Linked DNA regions of Bombyx mori. The protein of the gene in region 1 purifies or fractionates together with the protein of each later gene. This does not show direct contact. Links are inferred from orthologs where the notes say so. Each region holds a gene or a part of one and is shown in the gene's direction. Other genes may lie near its edges.

Evidence for each region. Proteins that work in one complex are often made in the same cells at the same time.
Region 2: the proteins of DDB1- and CUL4-associated factor 7 (region 1) and probable prefoldin subunit 4 purify together in Homo sapiens (affinity purification with mass spectrometry; 3 studies listed by BioGRID and IntAct, with this or other methods). This does not show direct contact. The link is inferred for Bombyx mori from reciprocal best matches to the Homo sapiens genes DCAF7 and PFDN4.
Region 3: the proteins of DDB1- and CUL4-associated factor 7 (region 1) and prefoldin subunit 5 purify together in Homo sapiens (affinity purification with mass spectrometry; 3 studies listed by BioGRID and IntAct, with this or other methods). This does not show direct contact. The link is inferred for Bombyx mori from reciprocal best matches to the Homo sapiens genes DCAF7 and PFDN5.

Annotation. Positions count from the first base shown.
Region 1 is NC_085118.1:1,106,334-1,117,454, reverse strand, and holds the start of DDB1- and CUL4-associated factor 7, read left to right. Parts: upstream 1-4,110; 5' UTR 4,111-4,341; intron 4,342-4,504; 5' UTR 4,505-4,525; coding exon 4,526-4,587; intron 4,588-5,002; coding exon 5,003-5,105; intron 5,106-5,904; coding exon 5,905-6,040; intron 6,041-6,558; coding exon 6,559-6,809; intron 6,810-7,855; coding exon 7,856-7,981; intron 7,982-8,775; coding exon 8,776-8,957; intron 8,958-10,155; coding exon 10,156-10,354; 3' UTR 10,355-11,121. Other genes in the region: uncharacterized protein LOC134199889, read left to right, coding at 1-247. UniProt on the Homo sapiens protein: Involved in craniofacial development. Acts upstream of the EDN1 pathway and is required for formation of the upper jaw equivalent, the palatoquadrate. The activity required for EDN1 pathway function differs between the first and second arches.
Region 2 is NC_085117.1:12,407,513-12,418,631, reverse strand, and holds probable prefoldin subunit 4, read left to right. Parts: upstream 1-5,458; 5' UTR 5,459-5,761; coding exon 5,762-5,794; intron 5,795-5,939; coding exon 5,940-6,161; intron 6,162-7,013; coding exon 7,014-7,166; 3' UTR 7,167-7,790; downstream 7,791-11,119. Other genes in the region: EN protein binding/engrailed nuclear homeoprotein-regulated protein, read right to left, coding at 3,823-3,918. UniProt on the Homo sapiens protein: Binds specifically to cytosolic chaperonin (c-CPN) and transfers target proteins to it. Binds to nascent polypeptide chain and promotes folding in an environment in which there are many competing pathways for nonnative proteins.
Region 3 is NC_085112.1:5,057,929-5,069,167, forward strand, and holds prefoldin subunit 5, read left to right. Parts: upstream 1-5,578; 5' UTR 5,579-5,734; coding exon 5,735-5,821; intron 5,822-6,780; coding exon 6,781-6,990; intron 6,991-7,604; coding exon 7,605-7,778; 3' UTR 7,779-8,390; downstream 8,391-11,239. Other genes in the region: glutaredoxin 3, read right to left, coding at 3,355-3,617, 4,013-4,181, 4,473-4,522. UniProt on the Homo sapiens protein: Binds specifically to cytosolic chaperonin (c-CPN) and transfers target proteins to it. Binds to nascent polypeptide chain and promotes folding in an environment in which there are many competing pathways for nonnative proteins.

The DNA of each region.
Region 1 (11,121 bases):
TATTCAGAAATCAAAAGAAAACTCCAAAACCTATTATGACCGAAGGTCTCGCCCTTCCACGTATAAAATCGGTGATATGGTATATCTAAAAAACCACTTACGTCTACGGAAAGCATTATCACCCTTATGGAAAGGACCATACAAAGTGGTAAAAATACATGGAAACCACACACTTTCCCTTCTCATAAATCGACGACACGTAAGACATCATTATGATGAAATTAAACATGCAGAAGTTGAAACCTAATAAGTATGATTGTGTAATTAATATGATTAATTATTTTATTAGTTTTATTTCCTCTCTAGTATAACTTAACTCAGTAGCCTTTAAGTTAAAAACATTTATCGTAAAACATAAATAATAATAAATACATTCTCTTACAGCCTGTCGGCACCATGTCAAGGCCTATCACGCACTCGAGAAATTACCAATATCGAACAAATTACGAAAAGCCCTGGCATTTACTTTAATCCCTCGGGATCTGTTAGGATAATTAGTGATTATTTACATGTATTAGTACCAATGGACATAGACTACATTAAACCCCATATAGATAACATTCAGACGGTTTTGCATTCAGCCAGATACTTCTGTACTAAAAACAATGTGGTTGACGACCTAGAGTGCGAGAATATGTTCATGCCCCTTTTATCTATGTTCAATGATATCTCAAGGGACTACCACGCCATTTCTCATCTTATCCAAAGTAAATCAAAGAGGTCTGCGTGGATTTCCGGCATCGGCACTATTCTTAAACATATAATAGGCACCATGGATGAGAATGATGCTATAAGGTATAATAAAGCCATTCAAATACTTAAAGATAATAATAGAAAAACTCTAGATTTGATAAAAGAAAATATCCTTATCTCCAAGTCGGCAATTATAACACTCAACGAATCCATAATTGAAATCAACACTAATGAACATAAATTAAACAAAATGATTGAAAACCTATCTTCCAGTATTAAAAACCTAACAAAGGCAAGTAATGCCTTGTTGTTTAAATCTACAATACATGACATGATAAATGTTATTCAATCAAATATGTTAAACTTGTCCTATAAACTAGAAGACATCATAAACTCAATTTTGTTTTCAAAAACCAATACGCTACATCCATCAGTCATAACACCCAAAGATTTGTATTATGACCTTGTTAACAATGTTAAATATCTACCTAGATATTCGGAATTAGCTGTAAGTTTAGAATTAGAAAACATATATGTACTTATAAATCTCTCGGAAATTATTACATGTATTTTAGAAAATAAGCTTATATTTAGTCTTAAAATTCCTCTAGTACTCATTGATACTTATACTTTGTATAAGACAGTACCTATACCAGTACCCCATAATGTAACATCCAAATCTTTTGCACTAATACTACCTACATGTTCTTATGTGGCCTTAAATCAGAGAAAATCGAAGTATCTTAAACTCGATAATCTTTCTAAATGTAAATCTATTAATAAGGAAACTCATATTTGTAAACAATTAGATGAAATAGATATACAAGACTACCCCATCTGTGAAACAGAAATAATGACAAAAGTCTTGAAATCACTTCCGAAACAGTGTAAAACTAAATTTTTATACGGCCATGCCAACATATGGCAATCCTTAAATAATAATAGATGGGTCTTCACACTATCTGAACCCACTAAACTCAACATTGAGTGCACAGACGAAACTACCGAATATATAGTTTCAGGAACAGGCATATTATCCCTGAAACCAAACTGCACTGGATTCTGCAAAAACATAAAATTAATAAGTAAAAGTTATCCTGAATATAAATTCAGTCACATACACTCAGAATTCAATTTAGTAAACGATACATGTTGTAACCCAGCAGTGTTTGAAAATTATAATTATACCGAATCTATTACAGGACTGCATAACTTAGAATCGAATAATTTAGACCAAATAATCAACAAAGCTGATAACATGCTACAAACCTTAAAACATTTAAAATCTCAGAACGAATCTATTTCGATAAGCACTCCCCATTCCATTGTCACATACTTATTTGTAATACTATTTGTTATTTTTATATGTTATTATTTTTGTCATAGAAAGTGCGTGGCTTTTGTGCGTAAATCTAAACCAAACGAAAACACGACGCAAATAAACACACCCCCACAAGAAAATATTCAACTAAATACCCAACCGCGAATAAGAATCCATTAAACTTTATATTAAAATAATCATCGAAAACTTCGGAAAGCCGTAAGTTTTCGCTTAAAGGGGGAGCTGTTATAATATTAACTAGTATATTAATTAATTTACCTAAGACCGAAAAGTGCCTCTAGCAGCACTTTCCGGCCTAACATATACTAGAGCCCCGTTGGCTCGATGTCAGTCACTCTGCGTCGTTACTATGAGCCACACTCTTTCTAAGTAGAATTTTGTATCTTCAAAGTGAATAAAATCTTTTTTAAAAAGAGTTTTTCAAAGTCCCGTATAACAGAGCGCATTCCATTACGCTAACCCGACCTTACGAATTCAGCGCATGAACGCCATTACTTCGGTTAAGGACGAGTCACGCTTTCTTTGTTACCACACTGGCCACTGCATTAGGGACCAGTTACATAATAGTTTACCAGCGTAATAAATAATAATAATAATAATATAGCATCCATTATGGATTTGGTTCGGATAGCATTTGCTGATTTCCGAACTTGGAATGATATTAATGATACAATAGACTTAACTTTGTATACCTAAGTGGCCGACATTCTAAACCCGTAGAATACGGATAACGGATACAGAACTATCCGTTACTTTAACAATTCCTGAAATTTGATCAGCATCGATGGAAGGTGTAATTAACTCACGTGGATCATTATGGGACAAAGCAGTCATAATATGTTATATTTTAACTGTTTTGTTTCTTTATTTTAAAATTTAGTTTTAGTTTATTACAGATTTAGGCTATAAAAAATTAATTGGGGCCTTCGTTTTCATTTTTGAAGATTGTTATCATGTAATCACGTTCCGTTTTCTATTGCATCTGGTTTCTAGTTACCACGAAATGGGGAACACACAACTCAGGCGAGCAGACAGACGCTCTTCGAAACGTCATGGCATTCGAACAAAGCGCCTAATAAAAAGTTTTACATTGCCAGTGTACTTTATTGCTATTAATTAAATTCGGGCACTTTAAGTATCTATAATAATCTTTAACATAGTTATGAGTTAAAAAGTTATACAAACTAATAAGTCTGTCCTTAATTTTTAATTAAGAAACTGAGACTGCCCAGGTATCTAGGCAATAAAAAAATATTATACACAATAATAGAAAACGTAAGAAATTTAGAACCTTTTTACCTACGATATCAGATCAGGAATATGGAAATTCGCAGGAAAACCGTAATAACTGACATAGCCGAAGGAATTGTGAGATTGAAGTGGGCAGAGCATTGCTCGTAGAACAGATGGCCACTATGGCTGAAACGCTTTCGAGTGGCGACTGTGTAAAGATGTAGCTTGGGTGGAGCTCCCACAAGGCAGACCAGCTACCTGTTAAATATAGCGGGAATCCGCCGAATGCAGACAGTGTAGGACCGGTCGTTGTGTCGAGGCTTTGGGGGGGCCTTTGTTCAACAGTGGACATCTGTGGATATTGTCGTTTATTTAACTTTCTATACATAGCCTGGTTTTACTACTCATTCAGTTTCGAATAGGTAGCTTACTCATTATTGAATTTTTACCAGGCATATGTCTTCAAATCCAATTTCGTCTTATTGCAGCCAATTTAATTTATTTTTAAATTATTTCATTTTCATTCATAAAATAATTTTCATTACACTTTTTTAACAACTAACAGAGATTCGACATATACTAAAGTAGGGACCCGCCCTTGCTTCAGAAACTGTAATTGATTATTGATTTCTCCACTATTTAATGGATGTTATTATACATATAAACCTTCCTCTTCAATCTCTATCTATTAAAAAAAGCGCATCAAAATCCGTTGCGTAGTTTTAAAGATTTAAGTATACATAGGGATATAGGGACAGAGAAAGCGACTTTGTTTTATACTATGTAGTGATGAGGTTTACTCGCAGATGCTAAATTCCCGTTGCCTAGTCAAAAAACGAAACGAAAAAAAATTAAAATGTCAGATTGTCCTACTTGCCAGTTGTCAAATTTTGTAAAAATAATGCTTCATGCTTGTTTTCTCCACACAAAACTAAGTTTTTAGTTAATTTCCAATTATAAAATACATTAATTGAAGGTACAGAAGCTCATGGACAGTTCAATATTTAAATAGGTATATTTAAATCAAACATAACAAAGCCGCTTGGTGGCCATTCTGTGATATTACGGCAAAGGTACATAAAATATATATTTTTTGTAAATTTAAAACCATATGTAAAAATCTAAAAAATATAACTTGAAAGGTATGAAAACTTACGTACTTGAAAGACAAAAAAAATAAAAAAGTCACTATTCATTAAAATTTCATATAAATATCATTTTGATTTGTGTTTTCAGAAACATTAAACATTATCAGTGATGTCGATGCCACACAGCAGTTCGAGTACCAGTTCAGGCACGAAACGTAAAGAAATATACAAGTAAGTAACGTTACAACACAATATGAACTATAAATAACAGATTGGAAATAATTGACAGTATAAAATACAGAGTTGACCCAATTTTGAGATTGCTAATTATAATTAGGTATAGCGTGTTATTTATTTCTGTACCCATTCCTATGTTTCGAAACATTTGTAATACAATCAAGCAGGCATTATGGGACTTACTAATTTAATGCTTTAGATGTTTTGAAATATACAGATAATCCTTTCACAATTCCCGAAAAGAACTAAAGTGATGTTAACAAATTGCAAAAACAGCCTTATCTTGATAATTACGTACGAAATTTGAGTTGTTCATACAGTTAGGTTAAATTCTCATAAACGAAGTTGTGATAAAAAAAAAACACTATAAGCTAGACAGCTGCATTTCTATGTCACACATCTTTTACAGATACCAAGCGCCATGGCCATTATACTCAATGAATTGGTCTGTCAGACCTGACAAGAGATTCAGGTTAGCCCTGGGCAGTTTTGTTGAGGAATACAACAATAAAGTAAGCTTTTACAGAGCAGTTATTATATTAATTTAGTAATTTACAAAACATACCAACAGGATTAAGTAAATACAGTATAAAGGCCCAGATAATGAATCATGCAAAGCTAATGCAATTTTAGGGAAGTCAATTTGTCAAAAATTTCCCACTCATTGAATTATAAAAGATAGAGGTGTGTGCCTTATAATCTATAAATGCATAATATTACCAAAGAAAATACACAATAAATTACATATTTTTGTTGTTGTTCATTTTTCAGTAGTTGACAGAATTGGTAGGAGCACTTAGTTTGTGGAGGCTGTTCTTATAGACCAAGTAGACAAATACAGCAAGAAAAAAAAAATTCTAAGTAATTATTGGTGCATAATATTACTTACTTAATTCCACCATTAAATTAGTAAAAACTCAACTACATACTACTAATTAGTTAATTGTTTAGCATAATATACAAACATATAGTAAGTAAACCAGGAGTTCCCAAGATATATAACCCACTTAGACACACAATAACTTGACCGCAAAGGTTTTAATTGGTGAGTATGTTGTATGAATAGGAAAAGAACTAGGGATAGGGTTTTTTAAATAATTTGGGTATGGGGTTTTGAGGTATCAGTTCATTTTAAAAAGGGGTCTGCCAAAAATTGTTTTATATTACCTAATATAAATGAATTTATTAGTTTTCACTACATTGAAGGATTTTTAGTGAAAACTAATATATTAATGGTTTCATTTAACACACATACTGTATTGTAGCATTCCTTGTGCATGACATAAGCTTAATAAAACTCTTAAATCCTAGGTACAAATAATTTCCCTTGATGAAGACACAAGTGAGTTCACTGCAAAAAGTACCTTTGATCACCCGTACCCGACCACCAAGATTATGTGGATACCTGATAGCAAGGGGGTGTATCCAGACTTGTTGGCAACTAGCGGTAAGACTTCGGTAGCAGTTTGTTAGCACTAAGATTACCATATTTAATATGGAGATAATGAGGCTTGAATTTACTTTTACACTGCTACATAGACAAAAACATATACTCCCAAAAATAATGCTTACAATATCATCTCTCTCTAGAGAAACAGTATTCATGATAGTCTTTGAGCTCCATAAACCACTGAATTGTACTTAACTGAGCCTGTCTATCTCCTTTGTCGTCATATCACTCTTGTCAGAGCGGTTGTGGTCGTCATTCAGCATCATTGCTGAGGGCAGATGTTATGCGCCTCACAAGCAATCGCTACTCCTCCCGGTTTGTGGTGAGCCTGGTACACTCATGCAAACAATAATAATCAATCTACATAAATAAAAATAAGTGATACCCTATGAGTACAATATGAATGATTGTGATGTTAATAGAGGCAACTTTCGTTGACATAAACAGTTTTGATAAATAATCAAATTCAAGTAAAACTATTCAATAAAATTTCACAATGGTGCCTTATGTTGCAGGTGATTATCTACGCATATGGCGTGCCGGAGAGCCGTACACATTATTCGAATGTGTCCTAAATAATAATAAGAATTCTGACTTCTGTGCTCCTCTTACATCCTTTGATTGGAACGAAGTGGATCCTAACCTCATTGGCACCAGTAGTATTGACACGACCTGCACCATCTGGGGCTTGGAGACTGGACAGGTCTTGGGCAGGGTCAATGAAGTGTCTGGGCACGTGAAGACTCAGTTGATCGCTCATGATAAGGTTTGTGATTTTTATTTAATAGAAGATCTTGTTAATTCATTTGTGTCCAAAATTTATGTTAATGATTATCTGAAGATTATTGGTGTCTTCAAAAAATTTTCGTTCTGCGAATCTAGTATAACCCCTCGAGGTTACAAGAATATGTTGAAAAAAAAATTTTTTCAAATCAATGTATTCAAATATGTTTAAATCACTTATTACAATTTTGACATGATACATATTTATCAAACTAAAGAATTGCAGGATTGAAATGGGCATGTTACATACGTGCCCGATTTCATAATGATCACATAACATTTTAAGTTTTAATGTAATCATAAGCATGTAGTGTGAAGTATATTCAAGGATGCTCACAACAGATACTAATAGAATTTTATTCTATTGGAGATTCCATTAAAAATCTATTAGCATACACAAAACTGGTGGTAGGACCTCTTGTGAGTCCGCACGGGTAGGTACCACCACCCTGTCTATTTCTGCCGTGAAGCAATAATGCGTTTCGGTTTGAAGGGTGGGACAGCCGTTGTAACTATACTGAGACCTTAGAACTCATATCTCTAGGTGGGTGGCGTTATTTACGTTGTAGATGTCTATGAACTCCGGTAACCTCTTAACACCAGGTGGGCCGTGAGCTGGTCCACCCATCTAAGCATTAAATAAATAATAATAAACAAAGCCGAACGTATACGCCCCTATCTGGTTTTATACACCTTGACATAATACAAGATGCACTCTGCGTGTACATCTTGCTAGACACTGTAAAGTGATGGTTACTTGAACAATAATTTGTCCTTGTCTAACTCGCCTTAGAGAAAGGTGGCTGAACAAAACTTTATATACATGTGGGGGTATACGAAAAAAAGGTTCGACGGTCCGAATGTGGTCGTTCGGAACCTGCATATAGGCAAGCTTATTAAGCTATAGCAAGCTTGAAAATGTCGTAAGCGAGATTCGGGCATCAGTCAAATATCTTGTGTCGTGTGATGGCTACCCGCCACATGCAACTTCTCGCGTACGGCAGCCCTAATGCCGGTGTTTGTGCGCAGGAAGTGTACGACATAGCGTTCAGTAGGGCCGGCGGGGGGCGAGATATGTTCGCTTCCGTGGGCGCCGACGGATCCGTCCGGATGTTCGACCTCAGGCATCTAGAACATTCCACCATCATTTATGAGGTAAGTACAGGAGGCAGTAAGCAGCGTCTTTCGGCGCTCGTGCATGGGCGCATACTATCATTATTTGGACATGTCTCCCGGCGAGTAAATGACTCCATAAAGCGCCTTATCGTTCAGGGCAAAGTAGAAGACACCAGACCGCGTGGAAAGTTGCACATGCGATAAACTGACCAGGTCAAGTCAGCTATTGGCGGCTGTTTGCCTGAGTGTACCAGGCTCACCACAAACCGGGAAGAGTGGCGATTCCTCGTGAGGCGCATAACATCTGCCCACAGCAATAATGCTGAATAACGACCACGATCGCTCTAACAAGAGTGATACGACAAAGATAAAGATTCAAGAGGCCTGCGGCACGAATGACTAACACAATGAAGGAATGCCGCGTTAAGTCCGAGTTAGTTGACCATGTACTGTGGTAGTAAGACGTCTTGTGAATGTGCACGGATAGGTACCACCACCCTACCTATTCTTGTTGTACTGTGAAAAGTGAGGCCTTAGAACTCATGTCTCAAGGTGGGTGGTGGTATTAACTTTGTACACATCTATGGATTCCGGTTACCCCTTTAGCACTACGAGGGCCGTAAACAGCAAAGTAGAATCGGCAAAATTGCGGAATTTTCACTGTAGGTAGTAAGATCGATATCACAGATCTGCAGTATCGGGCTGCAAAACAGTCGTCTGTGAGGACCCGTGCAGTTTGCCTGTGAGCGCCACGAACTGGTCTGATCGTGTTTATGTTGAGAAGCTGCTGTCAACATAACAAGTCTTATGGCAGACTGTAATGTAACACGCAGGACCCTCAGCACACCCCGCTGCTCCGCCTGGCCTGGAACAAGCAGGACCCGAACTACCTGGCCACCATCGCCATGGACGCGTGCGAGGTGATCATACTGGACGTGCGCGTGCCCTGCACCCCGGTGGCCAGGCTCAACAACCACAGGGCGTGCGTCAACGGCATCGCCTGGGCGCCGCACAGGTTCGTAGGCCAGGTAGTAAAGTAGGAGCATCAAGGTTGCTAAACAAGCCCATCCGATATCTCCTCCTCTGGGACTGTGTTCCTCAGCGCATTATACGCAAAAGATAATTTGCGTAATGACTGGTGGTAGGACCTCTTGTGAGTCCGCACGGGTAAATACCACCGCCATGCCTATTTCTGCCGTGAAGCAGTAATACGTTTCGGTTTGAAGGGTGGGGCAGCTGTTGTAAGATAATGTAATACTGAGACCTTAGAACTCGTATCTCAAGGTGGGTGGCGTATTACGTTGTAGATGTCTATGGACTCCAGTAACCACTTAACAACCGGGTGGGGTGTGAGCTCGTCCACGCACCTAAGCAATAAAAAAAACAATGTTCTTGTCGTCAAGTTCTTAGAACTCTTCAAACTAGACTGTGCAGCCGAAAACACCAACTTTTGTTCTAATTCAGTCCGTAAGGTATGCTCCTTGTATTGTGAACGGACCACAATAATATAAATAATAGTTTAAAAAAAACAAAAGAAACGCTTTTATAGAAAATCCAACTAAAAAATAGAAAACAAATTTTAATAAATTTGTTTTTGTTGTGTTTGTAAATGTGTTTTTTAAAATAAAATCATTTTTTTTACACTATTTTTAATTCAAATTTATTACAATTTATTTTATATTTTTTAGTTGGATTTTCTATAAAAACGTGTTTTTTTTTATAACTTTTTTTTAAACTATTTTTATTTTTCATTTTTTAGTTGAATTTAAAAAATTAAATTTTTTTTTTTAATATTAAAATGTCATCGATCCTTAATAAGTATGCCAAATTTCGAGTTAAACCGACGTTTTGAAGGGGGTCAAAATCACGTTCAAAGATTCCGATACAAACTAACATACATACGTCTCATAAAGCTTATTAATAAATAATAATTACAAAATTTTAACCCTCAGACACAGCCCACTGAGTTACTCGCCGGATCTTCTCAGTGGGTCGCGTTTCCGATCCGGTGGTAGATTCTGCGAAGCACGGCTCTTGCTAGGGTTCGTGTTAGCAACGTCGTCAGGTTTGAGCCCCGTGAGCTCACCTACTAGTTAAAGTTACGCTGAAATAGCCTCTCAAAGCTCTCAGCATAGGTAGAAAAAAAACAATTAGAATAGTATGAATTCTTTTGTGTTATTTCGGTTCGTTTTAAAGTGAAATTTTTAATTCAGTTCTTGTCACATCTGCACCGCCGGAGACGACCACCAGGCCCTCATCTGGGACATACAGCAGATGCCGCGCGCCATAGAGGACCCGATCCTCGCCTACACCGCCGCCGAGGGAGAGGTCAACCAGATCCAGTGGGGCGCCACACAACCCGACTGGATCGCCATCTGCTACAACCGGCACGCCGAGATACTGCGCGTCTGAATATATCCTGATTGTACAATCCGGTGTGCAGTCGTGTGGACTGTAACCCCTGAAGCCGGCGTGTAGTTTGACGGTAGACGACAGTCGGTTAAACAATATACATATAGTCCTTAGAATCGGACGGTCGCAACAGATGATCCTTCGAGCTTGATTGTTGGAACGGGTATTTTAGTTGCAACATTTCAATTATTTTATAACTAAGAATTCTAGAAATAGTTCCTGTTTTTATTCAACTTTAATTAATTGTGCTCCTTGTGCGTTTTAAGGTTGAGAGAAATTTAGCAATTAAACAAAAATTAAAGGAATTTAAATAACACACTGAATACAAAACCTTGAATACAAAAAAATTATTGGTGAACGTTGACAAACTTGTATGATTTAAATTGAATGAATGATATTATAATAATTTCAAAATTTCCACAAACATTTCTCGAACAGAGTCCCCCTAACTCGAAGGTGCATTCTTTACACTAATCTATTATTTATAAATGGTAATAAAAGTAAACGTGTCGTGCTCGCGGCTGACAATATCTTGTCAATCGCCAAGATAATGTTGAGCTTGACTCCGATACTTAGGTATACACATTGCACTAGACCCCGCACACAACTTCATTACATACAGATGACTTTTTGGCGGGAACGCGAGGAGTGAAATTGTGTGATTTGTTTTGTTTTGTCTTTTTAGTGTTTCTTCAGATTTAAAATGTGTAATAACTGCGGTTTGTTAACCGTTAAATATTTGTGAAAGTGCACAAATATAGGAAAAT
Region 2 (11,119 bases), on another chromosome or scaffold:
ATCACTCATAAATAACTAGGAATGTACGCTTTTTGTGCTTTTCTATTTGTATGTTTTAAAACAAACGGCATGAAAGACGCGAGCAAAGTGGGACAGCAATATTCTCACCGCGCTAACGAAACATCAATCACAGAAAATGCGATACCTAAACAAGAAAATATGCCTAAGTTATTGCGACACCCGCAATAAAAACAGAAAACCTTTTGTCCTTAGCGAAGCGGAGTTAATGAAGTGTTGGCGTACTAAAGAACCTTTTGCACGAAATTACGTAACACTCAGCAGCAAAGGTAGGGGCCAGGTGAAAGTGCGCCAACATTTTATTGCATTTTGTGAAATCCGTCATCTTTACTGAACTGCAAAATTATATCGAATTCAAACTTCACGTTTACTTTGTCACTTCAAATCCGTTTTATAATTTGATGCAATAATTTTAACGCTTACGACACACTTTCGATACTTTCTATGAGTGCGATAATGTTTAAAAACTTGATTGAACGAAATGGAAAACTTTATTATGAATTAAATAACAACCTTACTAAAATTACATTAAAAAATTACTAACAAAACAATTCGATTGGAATAGAATGTTTCCGTTGAGATCAAGTCTAAAACAAGCATTAGGGTTTTGTTATAAATGCTAATTAAAATGCAGTCCAAGTAAAAATGCAACCGAGAAGGGCATATATACTTCAAGGAAATGATAATTTATCGTTAAAACAAAAGCCTAGGTTGAATAAGCAGTAACACTGTGTATACCCGCTGTTTTGAGTAACGTGTAAAATATAAACAGAAACATGATTATTATGTTGTATTGACGTCTCCCATTATAATTCCAAATGCGTTAGTCAACAACTTGTAGGTTGCTACACCGTGTTGGTATAAAACGTCTTGGATCACGTATTTATAACATAAATATTCAAGAAACACTTCAATTCAAAAAATATTTTCAAATAAAATCTACTATTTTGTCCATTTTATCTGTAGCAAGGGCTGTACGAGGTTTTTTTTTAATATCACGATACTTTTACTGTACATATCTCAGTCTCTCATATCTTTGATGTTCTCGGATTTAATTACATATATGTTTTTATGATTTTTTTGATATAGGCCTACCTTACACCAAATAAATAGGTACCTCAGCTCTGGCCAAAGTCTCGTTTGTATTAGAATGACGGCTATTTATTTTGCCTAGTTAATGGCGTGAAATAAAATATCATAGTAAAAAGTTATAAATTTCATATTAATTTAGTATAATGTATGTTACCATTTTACTTTAATTTTTCAACCAATCAACCAACCAATATACATTGTTTTCAAAATCACGATAGGGAACGCTCAAGACATTATGTACCTACACCAAAATACACTAATGTGCATGAAGTGCAAATATATAATACAAAGTTTTGTGAAGGAACAAAAAAATCTTTTTTGAGCAAAAAATCAATCAATATTTACGTTTTTAATATTAGTGAAAGTGAACACCTCTGTGTGTTTAGCGGTGTATGTGAGTCATAAAGTTTACTGCAAAAAACAACAGTTCAAATATCATTTCCGCTATTTGTGAAACTTTATAAAAGACACTTATATATCTAGAAAATGTATTTATTCATTATTTGTCAGATAAATTCGTTGGTACCAATCACACGTTGGTACCATGAACATCAAAGTGATTATCACGTAAGTCATAATATGTCACTGTAATCGCACAACCACTTTGTGCTTAAATTGTAATTTAAATGAAAAAGTGATTGTTTAGTTTACACTTTACGACTCAATTCGACCACTTTAAGCTGCTTAGCTAAATGACTGTCTTTCACCGTGGTCCTAATGTTTACAACTTATCACTTTGACTATGACTATAAAAAGTTGCCGTAAGTTAAAAAATTTCATGAACATTACATGAATAAATTTGATGTCGACCTGTCGCACTTAGAGGAAAAGAAGCAACAACTTTACTCGGCTATTTCATGTCAGAATAAATTGTATTTATTATAATGTAAACGAGTACGAACTATTGTTTATTAATCGTGGATATTTCGAGCAAATATCAAACTGTGACTGACTGAGACATGACGCAAGCCTATTGTCCACTTGGTCAACTAGCCAATAACGATTTCACTCCGGATTGTGTTGTGCATTGTTTATCTCTATTGTAAAAACTTCTTTGTTTTCATAACCACAGGAACTTCCAAAACATTTATTTTTATTTTTAAATTGGGAACTGTAAATTTCTGCAAATTAGTCATGGCTGTAAAGATTATGGGGAAAAACCGCGCGGTCAATCAATTCATCATTCACGTCAATTCAAATCTAGTCTTTTTGGGACGATCCAAATCCTTTCAAGAAGGCTTTTATTTAAAAGATTTTTTCCGCGTGTATTTTTTTAAACGAACCAAAAAGTAAATATAGGCTCGATGCAAGTGGAATGATTTTGAGGTGCAAGAAATCATATTATATTTTCAATAGAATTAAGTTTACTGGTCGTCCCTAGTGTTATTTTAAATGTGCCCACAATTTCTGAACTATGTTGCGAACGAACTTTTTTAATCTAATAACAAAAAAATATACTTAATGAAGCGAATTCTGAATAAAAAGATGTTAAAAAGAAAAAAAAAAGAAAATTCAACCGCATAGATATTTTTCTTTCCACGACTTAGCATGTTGAACTACAAAAACTTTTGGACTAAACCAATCTGGAATTTGAATATTATAGAAGATTTTAATAAAGTCTTAAGATTTTGATGAGAAACTGTCAGATGCTCGCACAAAACACAACAATATAATTTCCCACGATTAACATATTAATATAATTTATGATTCCTCATGTCATTTCTTTCTCATTTTTGGTTGCAAAAAATATAAAGCTAAAGATGTGTGTAAACAAATCTGAGAATAATAACTTTGAAAATGTTTTTTATTAAAAACTCATATTTTTTGTTACCTAAATCAAGCACTTGATAAGTGGAGAATACAACAATAATTTAAATATAAAATAAATTCGTAAAATTTTACTTCAGAAAAATTTATTGTTTGAATTAATTTTTGTTGACTCAGTCGTAGCTTCGTCTAACAATTTATATATTAGATAACTTGGTATTTCTTGATTTCTAGGTCTTTCGAACACTAATATTGCCAATATCTCGAATGAATAAAGTAACTGTGTTTACAAACAAGTGTCTACGCGTCACCTGCTATAGACAATCACTAGACCGAGAGAAAGGCGCTTTCCACCAGTTGTATCCTACTTATTCGACTGCACAATTATTTTGCCTCATTTAGTGACTGTCATAATAGTTTAACAATTAGAAAACCATACATTTCTGAATAGGTACAGGAAATTAATGACTATACTATATGAGTCGTCTATTATCAAAGGTGGCAATCTGTGCATTTGGACAAAAGTTTTTTATTGATATGTCAATACAGATTGATTTGAATATAATCGTCTCCTTCAAAGAATACGGTTCAAAACCTGCATTAAATAAAGGTTAATGGTTAACCTGTTATTTATCTAAGATGTCGTTCCGAAGAGTTTTGTGACTGCCAATGGAATACAAAGTCAATAATTCGTTTTTCTGATTTACCAATCATTGTCCAAAAGTCAGATTGCCGGCTTTGATAATAGTCGACTCATATCTGATATTTTATTTTAATGTAATCTATAAAAATAAAAGATTTTTGTTCAGTTACTGCACTCAAATAATGTACGTATTTAATTAAAAATTAAAGTTTGTGTTTTATTGTAATGTTAATCATATTTTTATTCAATATGATAATAATAATATATTATTAATTCTTAAATAGGTAACGGGTTTTGCATACCGGTGGCGGTTCTGATGTGCTGTATACTTCAGAAGGCGGATATTCCGGCTTCATAGTTATTGTAGCCATCGAGTCTGGCTGGTGTTCTTTTTCCATCACGACCTAATACTGTTTATCAAAATTTATTTATTGCTCGTCTCTGGGTAACGCGCACTGTGTCTGATGTTCGAAGTTGAAGTGCGGGTCTGCGGACAACTTAGGACAAGTGAGTGGTGTCGTCGAGCGTAGGCGCAGAGAACGGCCGTGGTGGGGTCGCCGGTCGCCCGCCCGGTTTTGCATTCTTATACAATGGCTGAAAATACCGCTTAGATCCATAATAAAAAATCCGTATCAGTATAATATTGCTCTATTCATTTCATTCAGATCATTCGAAGCATCAATCAATCAAGGGAAACACACGGCACAACGGTATCTGATATTAAATTATGGGTAATATTCTAACTTATTTTGAAATAATGAAAAGGATAAATAAATATACCCAGATACGTTCCAGATGAACTTATCTGGGTATTTTTATTAACATAATATATATTCATTTGTAGTAATTCTCATTCAACATTCTCGTTTTAGTCTCCTACCTCCGAATTTTTGTGTTGAGTGGAATGAAATCGTTATCTTTCTTTTTATCTTTCTTTTTATTTAGGAGTCTTTGTAGACTATGATTCCCCCGTCCAGCCTGCTTCTACCGTGCACATTCAGGTATATACCGATACATTCGTCAAATCTTTAATAGGTATACGAAGTCATTCATATTATAGTTAGGGCTGCTGAGCGCTGTGAGACATACCCGATCCTGTAGATCGAATGGTAAGCAGTCGACGTTGCCCAAAGCACGTCATTACGGATCCTCCCGATCCATTAACGGTGCTTTTAGGCACCACAAGCACCGTCCTCGTCGAACCCGTCGCTTGCGATGAAGGGCTCGACGAGCGAATTAACCCATAGTCATAGCCCACTGAGTTTCTCGCTGAATGTTCTCAGTGGGACGCATTTCCGATCTGGCGGTAGATTCTGCGAAGCACTGCTCTTACTAGGGTCAGTGTTAGCGTCACTCCGGTTTGAGCCCGGTGAGCTCACCTACTAGTTAAGGTTACGCTGAAATAGCCTCTCAAGGAGGGACTTCGGTTCCCTCTGTATTTTGTACCGTATGTTCCATGGGGAGTGCTCTGAGGAATTGTTCGAGATGATACCGGCATCTCGTTTTTACCATCGCACCGCCCGCCACCGGAGTAGAGTTCATCCATACTACCTGGAGCCACTGCGGTCATCCACAGTGCGTTTCCAGAGGTCTTTTTTACCACGTACCATCCGGCTATGGAATGAGCTCCCCTCCACGGTGTTTCCCGAGCGCTATGACATGTCCTTCTTCAAACGAGGCTTGTGGAGAGTATTAAGCGGTAGGCAGCGGCTTGGCTCTGCCCCTGGCATTGCTGAAGTCCATGGGCGACGGTAACCACTCACCATCAGGTGGGCCGTATGCTCGTCTGCCTACAAGGGCAATAAAAAAAAAAAAAAAAAAAAAAAAATCAAGGCTTAGGTAGGAAAAATAATTTTGTAGAAGTTTTTTTTCCACCAAGCTGATCCAATGTCAATTTTGTTGTTCGAAACTTAGGTAGTCTAATGAGTCATAATGAGCAGGCACCATCTTACTGATAGGTTGTTCCTTTTAAAATCAACCATGCTGTCTCATCTTATGTTGAATTTGGTTACATTTTATTCCATTTAATCATCATCAATCATAAAATCAATAAACATCCAAAATCAATTACTATTCACTCCGTTCGGCCTTCGTTACAAACATGGCTTTATAGGCTAAGTTCCTTTTGCCTATTCAATGAACAAATTACGCTTAAAAAAAGTGAACAATAATGAACAATTTCGATTTGAGGTTAAGCGCAGCCGAAATTTAATGCTTTATGTTTAAATATTGATAGTAAACATGTCAACTACAGCTAAAGGAACTTTTCAGCCAGTAAGTAAATGTGCAATACTTATTTTTGTCAAAACATAACAAGCAGAAGAAATTTACTGTATTAATTAACCATATTGAGACCATTTTAGGTACGAAACATGAACATTCTATTGAATTTCATTTATTTTTCTCCTCGGCATTCTAGGACTCTGATGTACACATTTCATATGAAGATCAACAAAAAATTAACAAGTTTGCTCGTCTCAATGCTAAAGTTGACGATTATAAGGATGAGCTCAAAGTAAAACAAAACGATGTAAAGAACCTAGAAGAAGCAGTTGAGGAACTGAGCCTTGCTGATGATTCTGAAAAAATCCCTTACCTTATTGGTGAAATTTTTATTTGTCAGAATTTGGAAATTACTTTGGTAAGACTATCACATTAATATTCTTTAAAATTTCATTAATATTATATATTTTATTAACTAAAAGTAAAATAGTGGTCATTTGATAAAAGAAAGTTGCAGCAGTTTATCCTAAACTTATTTATAAAATAATGTATGTTCAATCTGATATTAATGCTTCAGTAAAAAGCGAATACCAAGAGAATTATTTAAATATTTTTCAGTGCATATCTCAAAAACAAAAACTCACTCATCTTTTGACAGATTACTTAATGCATTTTGTAGGATCATATACAAGCCTTAAGTTCATAACAAATTTTTTTGACCCTTTTAGTGCTAAGCTTGTTAGATTATAGATTTTTAGAAACATACAATTTTCTCTTTCTAATATATAAAAGTGCCTTATTTGTAGGTTAAGCTTGATTGAAGATTAGTTAAATATTAATCCAACTGAAAATTGAGAACTAAAAAATATCCAACTATCTAATCTCATTTTATATTTAAACTTAACACTTAACTCAATAAATAAAAAAGGGTATATACCCTTAAATAATATTATATATGAGTCGACTATTATCAAAGCCGGCAATCTGACTTTTGGACAATGATTGGTAAATCAGAAAAACGAATTATTGACTTTGTATTCCATTGGCAGTCACAAAACTCTTCGGAACGACATCTTAGATAAATAACAGGTTAACTATTAACCTTTATTTAATGCAGGTTTTGAACCGTATTCTTTGAAGGAGACGATTATATTCAAATCAATCTGTATTGACATATCAATAAAAAACTTTTGTCCAAATGCACAGATTGCCACCTTTGATAATAGACGACTCATATATATTTAAATCTAGTATTATAATTTTATTCCAGAAAAATCTTGAGGAAGCTAAAGCAAAAAAAATACATGAAATTCATGATTTAGAAGAAAAATGTGAGGAACTAAAATCACAAATGAGTGACTTGAAAGCACACTTGTATGGAAAATTTGGTAGCCACATTAACTTGGAAAATGAGGAAGATTGAAACAACATTAATTTTGTTCACAAAAATTGTACTCATATTTTAAGCTTTTAAGTTACATAGGCTTCACATCAAATAATTATTGTTATTCTAAACTTTGTTGTTTTTACACAATAAGAATTTATGTTTCTTAATTCGAAAATTGGCTGACCTACTTCAATGCAGTTTAAAATTACAGTAAAGACTTATTAAGTTCAAAGAAATGGTCCTTAAATATAGAACAAAATATATTATTGTTGTTATCTAGATTTGTGGAATATGTATACTGATTTTTCACTTAAGTTATTTTCCATTACTATAATATACACATCAATTATTTATTATCACGATAACTAAATATGTTTTAATAAATAAATAAAAATATAACAGACATCATTCTATGATGCATTTTCATAAAAGGGAAACAAAGTACATAATAAAAAATGTTATTACTTGAATAGTGGTACATAGCTAACCTTGTGCTTATGTAGTTATGTTGAAGGTGTGAAAATGTTTTGGGAGTTACTCCAAAATTGATATCTATCTTTTTTAACTTTCAATAAATAATTAAACATGAAAGTTGCATTCGTGACTTGTCAACTTATTCAGGTCTTGTATTTTTATTGAAATATATTATACTAATTAAAAGTTTCATTATTACAATAGACAGTAGACGTACATTAGTGAATCCCAGTCATGCTATGCTGTCACTATTAAGCTTTTCTGAGGTGTTTTACACAACAATACCTTATATGATATAGAACTGTTATTTTTTTTTATTCCTAGGTGGGTGGACGAACTCACAGCCCACCTGGTGTTAAGTGGTTACTGGAGCCCATAGACATCTACGACGTAAATGCGCCACCTACCTTGAGATATAAGTTCTAAGGTCTCAAGTATAGTTACAGTAGTACAGTTATAAGTAGTCTTTTTGAAATAACACACCACCTTTTTAGTTAGAAAAGGACAAAGTACACTTTCCCTCTCTTTAAAATCAAGGGCATACCATAATATTTAAGGTATACGCTTTAAGGCTTTAAGTATTAAAAACTGAAAAATTACAACTCTTCAATTACATTTTTGGCTTCTTCAATTTCAATTATATTTACCAAAAAACAAGAATTTTGCCATAAGTGCGATGTATAAAGATTCTAGTTGTGTTCCCTATACGTTACTAAACCGTTGATTAGGTAGTAATAATTTTATGATAATTAAATAATAATAAACCTTAACCTTATTAACTGAACTCATTTGTATTAATGTCATATTTTCATAGAATCTAAAATCGAACCGCTCATCTCACCACTGCATGTAATCGATAAATTATAATTGTATTAAAATTTTGTGTGAGATTAGTATGTGTTACTTGTGATTTATTTTGATGATGCATAATAATATGTGGTTGGAGCTCCAGGAGAGGTTTCTGTCATAGTACCATAAACATAAATAGCGCATGAATAGTTTCAAGAAATATATCTTTTTCACACAATTACTTATAGTCACGGCAAAGCGTGACCAGGATTACTAGCATAAACATAAACCTTAAAATTTATTATCACAAAATTAATTTGATTAATACAATCATACTAATTTATCAAACAAATAAAGCTACTAATCATAATACTAATACAATATAATACAGAAGAAAAACACATTTTATGTGCACCACTATTTTATGTGCAAATATACACCACCGCAAAATACAAAGCTTCATCATTTCCAATATCGACAAAACAAAATGGCATATCTGAAAAAATCTCAGGCAATTTTTGGTGCTTCGAATTCTTTGGTGTGTTTTCCATTAAGTACAATGTCTCGGCAACACATTCGCCTGGCTATTACTATCAATAAACCTAAAAATAATATTGCTGAAAAAAGGAACATATCCTAAAGACAGGGCTGTTTTATTTTAAACCCGGGTTTTATAAATATGAGGCGAGAATTTAACGGTATACTATATTATGCTGATGCGTTTTACAATTTGTACCAAACAAATTCGACTCTTCGAACGTACCAGACGAGCCCTAACATTTTCTACAAAAAGTCGATGTCAAAATAGTTTAATCAACGATATATTATTATTATAATAGATGCGTAACTGTGCTTTAGGTTAGGCACTGACAACAAAACTTTTTTTTTATCATGAAGAATAATCGCAAATAATAATATTCAGGGCCTAACTTAGCCTAAGCACTGAAAAATACCACCTCATTACCTACATCCTACATAAATTGAACATAATTTATCTTCATTAACAAAATGCTAAATGCGATCAACATCAATACTATAAAAACCAAATTTTTTTTAGGCGCTAGTAATAAGTAATAACCCAACGTTTAGTACACCTTAAACGTAAATTTACTGTTTATATCTTTATTGCTTCTACACCAAATTTTCCCGCCTTTAGAAGTTTCGGACCCTTGACCACTAGCTCCTATTACAATGACCATTTATTAAGCAGTATGTAATTACGAAAATGTAACGTCAATACCTTTCATAATATTTAATTAAAGAACATAACAAATTCGTTAATACTAAAATTCTGATGCAAATAAATTTCACAGTAGACGAATAAAATACAAACGTATAACATAGCACCTAGTATCCAATTAAAGACTATAAAAATAAATTATTAAATAAAAGTTTTAAAATACAAAGCCGTAACACTTAAAATATTGGTGTTTATACACCGAATTGAATCACGTTTATGATAAAATCACACAATCATCTCAAAGAACATGATGAAGTTCATTTATCACTGGTTTTAGAAATGGTAAAATATCTGATATTTACGTTTTTTATTAAAACTAATGTTCATATAATGATCAAAATTCGAGAATAATCACTGACACCTCATGATTTACTTAGATTTATTTTACTTTTTCTCATTTATTTTGCTATGCACATTCTGAAAGCAAATTTACTAGGCATTTCCAAAAACAAAAACAAGTTTTGATAACACCAAAGCTCGTGGTTATCAGACAATAACCAGTAATGGGAAAAAAATCGGGCAAAGAGAGAAGAAAAAGAAACTTAACTGTTCTCTTTTTGCCTATCTGTACATAATTAAAGCGGAACTATTATAAACGTCATGGTCACGTCGTCTATTATAAACATGGCGTCGCATCGCGAGCGCATCGGTGATACATGACAACCACTTTGCCAAGAGTTTACGACTAGGATGAAGAAGAATTATATACGTGACAAACCCCATCGGGTCCCGGAAACACACATACGTATGAGAAATACAAAAAAAATTGCAACAATCTATAATAAGAATACTGACTGACAGGAATTTGAACTCGCTCCGAGTGCCTGCTACAAAAGTCAGTCACTATACAACCATTAAACCTAAGAGGCCAACAAACCTTAACATATCACTGTCTATAAATCGACCTCAATATTCAACATTTATGACCTATTCTATTAACTATTCTCGTGAAACAGAATACTAGGCGCAATTTAAATATTACCACGAAACGCACCATTTATAAAAAACGGTACATAGGTGTTCTAATAAAGTTATTCATTATGCTAGGAACAAATTAATAGATGCGAATTAATATCTAGCCAATAACATATTAGCTTTTATCCGCAGACGCGACGCGACCTTCGTTTAGGCTTGTCTTATCAATATATTTAATAAGTACGTTGTCAGACCGACCTATTAGCGATCACTTGGGCACATTATTTGGCATGTCCAAGCATTACATATTATTTTGTTGATACTACCAGCATTTTTATACCTTCTTACGGGATCTTACGAACATTTGATAAAACAAAATAAGGATGTTTTGAAATACCCTTTAATTCTATTAGCTGTTATCTATTAGCTTTATTGTTTTGATTGGGAACACGATTTCGCGCCCCTTCTGGTGTTATGGGCTTACGGGAACCTATACAGATCACGAAGCGCAAATTAGGCAACATGCGGGAATGGTTTCTTAAACTTAAAATAAGATGCCCGTAAGATTTTT
Region 3 (11,239 bases), on another chromosome or scaffold:
TGACTGCGCGGCACGTCACTGCTGAAATGCTTGTCATTTCTCTGCGGATGTTTTCTTTTAGGGCCTCAATTGACCGCGGGTTTGTGTCGTATACTTTAGCCTTAAGGTAGCCCCACAAAAAAAAATCCATCGGGGTCAGATCTGGACTACGTGGAGGCCAGGAAATGTCTCCTCTCTTAGAGATAACTTTGCCAGGAAAAAGTTGACGGATAACGGGCATAGCAGTGTTAGAGGTGTGAGAAGTGGCCCCATCCTGTTGAAACCACGTCCTGGCATTAAAGCCTGAAAAGTTTTGCAATTCTGGTATGAAAAACTCTTCGATCATAGCCACATATCGCTCCGACGTAACAGTAACTGCGCGCCCTCTGCCATCCTCAAAGAAGTAAGGCCCTAGGATACCATGGGCTGACATAGCGGCCCAAACAGTCACTTTCGGACTATGTAAGGGCTTCTGATGCTTAAGTTTTGGATTGATGGGGCTCCAATAGCGGCAATTTTGTTTACTAACATGCCCGTTAAGATGGAAATGAGCCTCGTCAGAGAACATTATGTTATTGAAGGAAGTAAACCGATTCAACATTTCATTCGCGTAATTTTGTCTTTGAATACCGTCAGTTTCCTTTAATTCTTGAACCAACTGAATTTTGTAAGGGTGCATATGTAAATCTTTCTTCAAAATCCGTTGTAACGATGTCCTGGATACGTTTAATGCTCTGGCGCGCTTACGAGTTGACTGTGTCGGATTTTCGCGAATAGACTGTGTCACTGTGTCTATGTTTTGTTCCGTACGTGACGTCCTTGGGCGACCCAACCGCGGTTTATCTAACGTCGAACCGGTCTCCTCGAACTTAGCAACCCAGTTCTTAATCGTTTGAAGAGTTGGAGTGTCGTCAAAGTTGTGTAAACCTTTGTGTTCTCGAAATTTACGCCGCGCAACGGTTGCCGAATTGTCGTTTTTATAAAACTCGCGCACACAAAACGCACGGTCCGCTCCGGTAAAACGCTCCATCGCGACTAAATTCCCAGAAACCGAAGTTACTCCCCCCGCTTCCCCTGCACCGCTCACGCGCGCCCTGTTCATTTTATTCAAATTTTACTTTTCAAAGGACTTATGGGCCACCCTGTACTTCAAGCTGCTTCAACTTCTTCTCGAAGCGGTATCGAAGTGTCAATGTCTAAAAACTATGGTAGGGTTGAGCTTGGAGATGAAGGAGATGGTAGGACAATTCATTTGCTCAAAAACTCCTGAAAGTTCTCGCGCCAACATTCAAGATAACTTTCTGAAGTCGCGATGTAGTTTCTGTTTTTATCCCAAAGCAGTTTCTTTTGGGTCTCTTTCTCCCTGCCAGCTCTTTGGTGTCACCGTACAATTGCCTCAGGTTGCCCGTATCGACTGCTGCTTGAGCACATTCAGCTTACCGTCAGTAGATCGTCGCCTGTATTTTCTGGTGCTGCGATAGATGCACTCATGTACGTATTTGACTGTACTGGTCCCTAAGGCAAGACCGTTCGGCTTTGTTCGGGGTTTCTAGGATGTTTAGGTGAAGATCGCATCAAGTCTGTTTAAGGTCACAAGTGTCGTCGGAGGTCCAATCATCGCGCTTTTTTCCAAGATGATCTAAGACAGAAGATCTGATTTCTTGATAGATTTGATTCGGTTGCACTCTTCGTCTGTATTATCAGTATTCGCATAGAGACGGAAGAAACAATTTCGGAGTTCCAAAGCAAATTTACTTCGAGAAATCTTTCTATCAAGTTGTCCCCAATCGAACTTAAGTCGTATCTTGTTGCTGCCAGCTGCTCGCCTCGTAGTCGCAACCTTGTGCCGGAGTTCAGCGACCATCAACATATGACCACTGCCGATATCGGCACTACACTTTTTGTGAACACTTGGCAGCTAGTTTGGTCTTCGTACGTATGTTGCCATCGGGTGAAGTCAACGCATACTTATGTATATTTTTATCATGGAAAAGTGTACCTCCGATAACAAGGTCGTGGTTTTCGCAGACTTTAATAAATTGCTTCCCTTAGTCGTGTTGGTCCGTATTGTCGCTTTTCCCTATCGTATTCATAACTCCTATCAAGATGACGGTATTGCTTTCGAATGCCTTCAGCGCGTTTTAAAGTTGTGTAAAGGAATTATGAAGTGTGCCTTAAATGTTCTAAGAGTTAAATAGAGTTTTAATTTGTACTTCGGTGAAAGTTTTATTTATCCCGAACCCGAGCACGTCACAGTACTATTTCTAGCACTACACTAAAAACATGTGACCAACAAAAAAAGTACTAAAAAAGCTATGTCAGGCCAAAAGGAGTGTTTTGATGTGCGCTTTGGGAGTCTTAACGACGAAAGGAAAGATCTTCCACCGAGCGGGTGATATTGCTCGGTAGACCGACGGTCCGAATGTCGTTGTTCGGAACTTGTATTTTTTTTATTTTTTTATTGCTTAGATGTGTGGACGAGCTCACAGCCCACTTGTGATGGGATGTGTGATATATGCGCTTTATCTTGAAAATGTCATAAGCGAGATTCAGGCATCTGTCAATTATCTTGCGTTGTATGATGGCTACCCGCCACACGCTAAGAGTGCAGAAAAGTTTTTATTCCACGGTTTACTTGTGAAAATAAACCAAGTTTATAGGTAATTTTGAAGTCGTCGTGGCCTAAAAGACGTCCGATGCATTCGTATGTAGCGATGCACCAGTGTTCGAATCCCGCAGGCGGGTAGCAATTTTTCTAATGAAATACGTACTTAACAATTGTTCACGATTGACTTCCACAGTGGAGGAATAACATCGTGTAATAAAAATCAAACCCGCAAAATTATAATTTGCGTAATTACTGGTGGTAGGACCTCTTGTGAGTCCGCACGGGTAGGTACCACCGCCCCGCCTATTTCTGCAAGGTGTGTGGCGCATTTACGTTGTAGATGTCTATGGGTTCCAGTAACCACTTAACACCAGGTGGGCTGTGAGCTAGTCCACACATCTAGGCAATAAAAAAAAAATGATTTCATACTTATGAAGAGTGTCATGAAAATATCAAATCAAATTGGTGAAGATGGACTGCTGTTTACATTAGAGTAAGAAAGCATGTGATTTTTATATGTATATATTCACTATAAATATTCATTCAAAATAAATAAAAATAGAAAACTAAAAATCTTTCATTTTGCAATTTAAATCATACCTATTTGTTTTGTAGAAATAGGCAAAATGTTCTCCATTCTTTAGTTTTTACAAAACTTGTCTCGAGGGCCAAGCCAAATTTCACATGACAAAGTCACATCTATACTTACACATGTAAAATAGTGCAATCAAATTATAGGTATTGATCATTTCATCAATAATACATACCCTGTTCCATTCAGAATTTGTATGAGAGTACGACTAAACCCGCATCTTGGAGTTTCCTTGTTCCCTTTCATGAATACCATTATATTATGCTTATTTATTAAAGCTTTTAGTCGATCTTCAAGTTTCTGAGGGGTTATTTCTGCAGGACTCTTATTAAGACTCTGTGCTTTAATTTTTGTGCTAATTTGAGCAGCATCTGCTCCATCAATCCTGTCTACTTGAGTTCCATTCTTAAATAATATAACTGTAGGCACTGAATCTACCTGAAATAAACATAATCATTAATAAGTTGTCTAAAACAGGCTTTCCCTATTTTGATTGTTTTCATTATAAATTATTTCAATATTCAATTACATAGGCTCTTTGATTGCTTAACTGGTCTAGTGTAGTGTTTCCTAAAGTAGTCTATTTCAATCTGAAGAATGACATAAAGTCTTTAATGCATAGTTGAGTAACCAAAATCAAGATACAAATTGATGTATCCATAAAGGTATATAAGCCGACTTAACCTAATAAGTGTATGGCTTTAATAAATAATAAAAAAAGTATACACAGGTATTGCAATAGGTGACTTAATTGTCTGTGCTTTATGATGCACTACATTTTTAGGGTTAGCACTTATTACTTTTTATTTAACAATATATTAGCAGAGCATTACCTTATATTGCAAGGAAACTTCAGAAAGTGCCTCGGCATCACAAACAGCACATTGTGTCTTGCTCGACTGAATTTCAGGAAGTTTTAAGAGTTCTTCAAGTACATCTGTAACTTGTTTACATTGTTCGGCCCATTCTGCTGAAAAGTGTACTACTCCAAGTGCAGGTGATCTAAATTAATTAAATAATTTTTGATATCAGCCAATACCAAGATAGATATTAAAGAATCATCTTGTTGTGATAAAAGATTAATTGAAAGTAATATTCTCAATTTTATATTCTAAATACATATTTCCATTTCAATGAATGCAAAATGTTGACCATCCTGCTACATAGTAATTTATTATCTAACATTTTTACCTATTTACTGTGTATTTAATTTAATTTCTTTTTATGGCTTATTTTTAATGATCCTTTCACAAACGGTTTTAAAAGTACTTTTTTATTAGCGGTGATTCTTACCTTATAAAATTATTAAAATCTTCAACAGAGTCCAATTTACTGACCGACATTTCAGTATACTATGTTTAGGTTACTTTAATAAATTTTGTAAACAGTATATAAGCGCCACTGGATTACAGCAAGATTGAATTACAATTACAGCAAGATCCGGAATCGTAGGTGTACTCGATGCAAAAATTACAATTTATTTAATCATGTTCATTCAGTTTCTGACATCTCTGATTAGGGATGTGGTCTAAGATCGATACTTGAGTAAATTAATTTGTTAACAACTTAAATCGTGAATAGTGAAACATCTTAAGCAGTAGAAAATCGAAATTTGATGAAAAGGCATTAATAAAGTATTTATGGTTCAACTGATTATGAATATATTAAATATAATGTTTATTAAATTTAAATTTACATTTTAAATAATAATAATTTAAAAAGTTGTTGTATATAAATCATGTATTTATTAAATTTTTTGAATGAATTTGTTGTTAATTTCTGTTTGATTGATTTTTGTGTCATTTTGGTTGCACTTGGGTATTTTCTAGAATCGATTTTTCAAAATTTTGGTCTGAAGTCGAATCATCATCTCTATTTCGAGCCAAATTTTTTTGTTTGATTTGTTTTTTGGACAAGCAAAAGGAGTCATAAATAATAAATAGATGTACACAATAAGGAGTTTTAGCAACACAGCGAAGTTATATTATGTCATGTATATCTTATTTATTTAAAATCGCTTAGCCATCTTATTGTTTACGGTTAATGATCAAGCTTAGTGGTAGATTTTTTTGTGTCTGAGCCAATTTTTTTGCTAATTTATATGGTGATTAAAAGGTTTGCTTAGTCATTGCTCTCTCGAAATGCTCGCAACATAATTGTTAACTTATAAATTTATTAACCTCTTTAATACGATTTTCGTTAGCGGTCAAATTGGTAGAAAACTACCAATATGACTAGCCAAATTGATACACACTAATAAATCCAGTTTAGTTTCTGTAAATTCTCAACATTTTACTAAGAGGTTTTCTTTATCGATTTGTTTTTTTCACTTATTTGGTGTTATAGGCAGAATTTGTTTGCATGTCAATTTGGACCAAACAAGTAAAACTGTCAAATTGACATATTCTGACTGAAGTTTTGGATCCTACCCGAAATCTACCTATTTTGAGGTTAGAAAAAAGAAATAGTCTTAGGATCCTACAAAAAACTAAATAGAATAACTAGAAACGTGTGTTAAGTTCTTTTATTATTTCCTTTTATTAATATTTACAAAGATGGCATCCGGTTCAGGCACTCAACAAATCGATTTAAACAAACTACCTTTGCCTCAACTAGCTCAATTGAAACAGCAGTTAGACCAGGTATGTATAAAGGAAATATCTATAGAGCTATTTTAGAAATAGTAAGCATTAAGTATTATTTCTTCAACATAATATAATTTATACAGATAATTATTAAATGTCGTAACTATTAATGTCCTTAAGAGACAGGACTTATGTCCTATTTTAAGGACCCTCATGAAAGCCGGAATGAAAACATTTCCATATGTTTTCTGGTCTGAGTTGTGTATCTAGGTGTACTTGTTAGTGACATGAACCCGGACCTCAAATACCAACTCACAAAGCTATGAATCTAAGATATGTTAAAGAGAAGACTTCACTGAATGTGCTCATTTTTGGTAGACAAGCAGTCATCATGTTGTTGTTCTGATCTTTTATTGGAAGACTATTTCGTAAACAGTCAGCTTCAGGTCATATCCGCTTTTCTTTATTGTATTGTAGCTATTGCTATAATTAGCCAGAAATGGAACATCAAACATAATGACTAAATTGAGGGAGACATTTTTTTTATTGCTTAGGTGGGAGGACGATCTCACAGCCCACCTGTTGTTAAGTGGTTACTGGAGCCCATAGACATTTATGATGTAAATGCGCCACCCACCTTGAGATATGTTCTAAGGTCTCAAGTATAGTTACAACAGCTTCAAACCGAAACGCATTACTGCTTCACGGCAGAAATAGGCAGGGTGGTGGTACCTACCCACGCGGAATCACAAGAGGTCCTACCACCAGTGAAAATGTGTCTGTATGTTAGTAACTGATGTTATGTTACAATATGCATTAGTAAAACGTCTGCCCTTTAGTCTTTAGGTCTACTTTGGGAGTACTTGGGCAGCTGTTAGTAAATCTGACTCCTCCTGGCTGCTCCCATGCTTGCCCTGCCTATCTTAGTGAAGCAGTAGTGGCCTCCTTGCAACCAGCTATCTCCATCCGAAAAAAAGGCAATACTCTCACACAAAATCCATAAAATTTTATTTCAGGAATTGACAGTATTTCATGATTCAATACAAACATTACAAATGGCTAAAAATAAGTTTGGTGAATCAGGAGATGTTCTAGAGAAGATGACGCCTGATATCAAAGGAAAACCGATGCTTGTTCCATTGACTAGTTCAATGTATGTTCCTGGCACAATAGCTGATGTTGAGAATGTCATTATTGACATTGGCACTGGATATTACGCTAAGAAAGTGAGTAACTTAAATCTATACATATAAATAAAATTGGAGTGTCTGTTTTTAATATTGAAATAACCGCTTTTTACTACATGCATATGAATATATACAGTACATACACCAAAATAACATTTTTTACAATTTTTGTCTGTCTGCCTGTCTGTCTGTTTGTTCCGGTTAATCTCTGGAACGGCTGGACCAATATTGACCAGACTTTCACTGATAGGTAGCTGATGATATAAGGAGTAACTTAGGCTACTTCTTAGATTAGGTTCGGCCCGCGGCGTCGGTTATTGTCGTACCACGGGATAACATCGCGGGACTCAGCTATCAATAATAAAATTTAATGTTTCCGAAGCGAAGCGAGGCGAGGGGGGGCGCTAGTTAAAAATAAATTTAAACCTAATTTAACACTTAATTCAGCTCCAAGTTTGGCAGGATAATATATCATGTATAGCTGCTGTTTTCATTTCAAACCTCATTTCAGAAAATGTTGAGTACTTTAGAATATTGGTATGAAGATTGAATCATGATATAGTTTCAAATAATTTCAAATTAACTGCATGGGTTACCCCTTAGGGCTAATGATGCTGACATATGTTTGTATTACGTTTTATTTCTGCTTCTAGGACATTGAAAGTGGCAAAGATTACTTCAAGAGAAGAGTAGAATTTGTTACAGAACAAATGGAGAAAATAAGTATGTTAGGTGCAGAGAAATCGAAACTCCGTGAAGCTGTTAATGCATTAGTTGAAATGAAAGTTCAAAACGAACTACAAGCAAAAAAAGCTAACTCTTCATAACATATCTGAGACTTAATTTAAAAAATATTTTGTGGAGAGATTCGTGTCCTTTTAATGTATAGAGTTGACCTAAATTTTCTGCTTTGTTAATTTATAGTTTATTTAAAGTATTTTAATTACTTTTTAAAACATTTTAATGATTACATCTTAGTGTTAAAAGTGGAATCATTTGTGTTTTGTTACCACGTATCACCCTGTCCTAATCAAAGTGGTTACTATTGCTTCTGTACATCAGTGATTTCAGAGCAAAGCCAAGTTTCTGAATGTATTAACGTAATCCCAACAGCTATGACTTATACTGATATTTTCTAATGTAAAGCTAGATAATATTATTAAGCCACATCAAAGCTTTTCCTCACATTTTCTTTAATTTTGGATAAATTTTGAAACTAATTACCTAAGGTAATATTTTGTGTTTAGAATACTCCTCAAGAGTACTACTCAATAGCATCAAGTAATGTTAATAATATTCTTAATTCATGTTTTGTAATTTTGTAAAGCTTTATATCATTTCAAACTATGTGTTTTACAAGTACAAGACTCATTGCTTAGTTTTAAATTTAATTCAATGTAACAAAATGTGCTTATGTTTAAAATAAATATATAAATATATTTCCAAGTTTTACTTGAACGATCCAGTATAACAAAAAAAAAACGCGGCTAAAACAAACATCAGCAAAAAGTGGCTTCTTTTTTTAAGATATATTCTGATACTGTTTTAAATGTTTTAATGATCTAATTATTGAATTCTGAAGAATAACACCCTGTATTGTTGTTGTATCTAGTAATAATCAAATTCTAGAAGGATAGTTACATACTCGTATAAATGTAATTTACAACTTTCTTACACAATCCATAGATGAGTCGACTATTATCAAAGCCGGCAATCTGACTTTTGGACAATTATTGGTAAATTAGAAAAACGAATTATTGACTTTGTATTCCATTGGCAGTCACAAAACTCCTCGGAACGACATCTTAGATAAATAACAGGTTAACTATTAACCTTTATTTAATGCAGGTTTTGAACCGTATTCTTTGAAGGAGACGATTATATTCAAATCAATCTGTATTGACATATCAATAACATTTTTTTGTCCAAATGCACAGATTGCCACCTTTGATAATAGACGACTCGGATGTCGCCTTTGTGTATTGCTAAACTCTTCTTTCTATAACTTACTAGGGACCCGCCCTCGCTTCGCTTCAAAACTGTAATTTATTATTGATTTCTCCACTACTTAATGGATGTTATTATACATATAAACCTTCCTCTTCAATCACTCTATCTATTAAAAAAACCGCAACAAAATCCGTTGCGTAGTTTTAAAGATTTAAGCATACATAGGAACAGACAGATATAGGGACAGAGAAAGCGACTTTGTTTTGTACTATGTAGTGATGATGATGATTAATGCAGTCTCGTCCGCGCGTAGCTACAATAGCCCCTTAAACTACCAGCAAATAGGTAGCGAAAAATGCACAGCTATTAGACTTAAAGTCTGTACAATATCACAGTTTAAAATAATTTAATTCCATGATTCGAATACTAGGATTTTCACTATCTCATAAGTATACCTACCGTAAGCGGCAATCTAGACGATCAATTATATTGCCTGGTATTGCGAACTTGGCAGTATTTTTGACTAGGGTTAATATTAAAGATTGCACGATGATTGAACGTTTTTAACTATATAGTTTAATTTTTATTGCACCATATTTATTTATTGCATCATGTACGGTCAGTGCAATGTTTTAAGTCTTTTTTTTTATGATTAAAGTATTACTGGTGCCTCGGAGGCCTTTCCAGGTTCACCAGGACAGGTGGGCGAGCAAATGCTCAGCCAGGAGGGGTGAGATTTGCTAACAGCTGCCTGAGCGCCTCCGAGACCAACTCAAGAGTAGCTGCTTCGCGAATGAATCTACTACCGAATCGGAATCGCGACCCGCTGAGAAGATCCGGCGAGAAACTCAGCGGGCTGATGGGTTAGGTTGCACGTCGAACTCTTTGTCGAGTTCGACGAGTACGGTTACCGTGTGTTTTTGTCTATGGTTCGTCTTGACAAGGAGTATACGCGCTGACTGAGTTCGCGAACATTGTGCAGTTCGTATTATTGTGCAATATAATTGATCGTTTAGATTTAGAGCGCCTTTAAACCTTATTCTAGGTACATTATATTGTATGGTACAATGTTATTGTAGGTCTAGGGGCCGCCTAAGACGTTATTAACAATCACGTCTTTTAAAAACACGGAACTTTCTTCAAATATTTAATGATATATCTCTCTCTCTCTTTCTCTTCGATCGGTTCCTCACTGCTGAGGATCGTGACTCCGTCCGATTTCGTCAGCCAACTGTCTCCATCGAACCCGTCCTGCAGCCCGGTGGAGTGCATCGCTGATAGGTATCCCCAGTTCCTCCGCTATTTGGTCCGACCATCGTTTGGGACCTATACCCCTAGGCCTTTTTCTCTCCATTTTACCAGTCACCACAAGGCGTTCCAAATTGCTGGTATCCCTACGTGCAACATGATCAAAATACCGCAATATTCTTTGTAGGCAGATTGTGGATAGACGTTGAATCTTATAATGATATATAAATTGCGTTAAGTTCTGCTAATTTTTTGTCTTTCAAATAAGGTTTAAATTGAGTTCATAGTAGTAGGTGGCGTCTTAGGCTCGCAGGTCTCCGGATTTGCTGATGTCCATGAGCGTCGGTGACCAAATACTATCAGCTGGGTCGTAAGATTGTCTATCTTTTACTATAGTAAAAATGTTCCCTATATAGTTCCTAGGGAATTTATTTCAAATTACATTTTTATAAATATTCCTCAAAAACAGGTGCCTCTTTTAATTCCAAACCCTTTAGAGCGTGCAATAGACGTAAAAGTCGAATGTTGATGGTTGATACAAAGTGGTATGTAGATACATATTTCTTTCTAGATGTATCTACAGACTTTCTGCGATGCCTTAGCAATCCGTAATCATTTAGCTCTAGGTGTAGGTATCACGAGTCCGTCCACCAACCCAAGGCTTAAAGAAAAATCGACGCCGCCAGCTTTTAAACATGTGGTCAAAATATCTACATATGTTTTAGAACATCTGTTTTATCCTTCACACTGCATAATTACTTTGCTGATTACGCCCTAGTGTATATATTCTGTGAAATCTTAATTTCTCAGTTAAATCCCCATGACCTTGTCTTTGAATTTGAAAATCTGTCTCCTAAGATCAAGCTGAATCCGTTTAGGGTTCCTAGGCACATTACAAGACACACAAAATATACTCAATGGTGCTTGGGATTTATTTTTATCGTGTACGATCTAGCGGTGTATTTTCATCATTTAAGATTGTGCTCGGCGTAGCTTATATCTCACTAAATTTTCGAAGATTTTCGTAGTACTTAGGTTTAGAAATTTTAGGAATATATCACTACATAGTACAAAACAAAGTCGCTTTCTC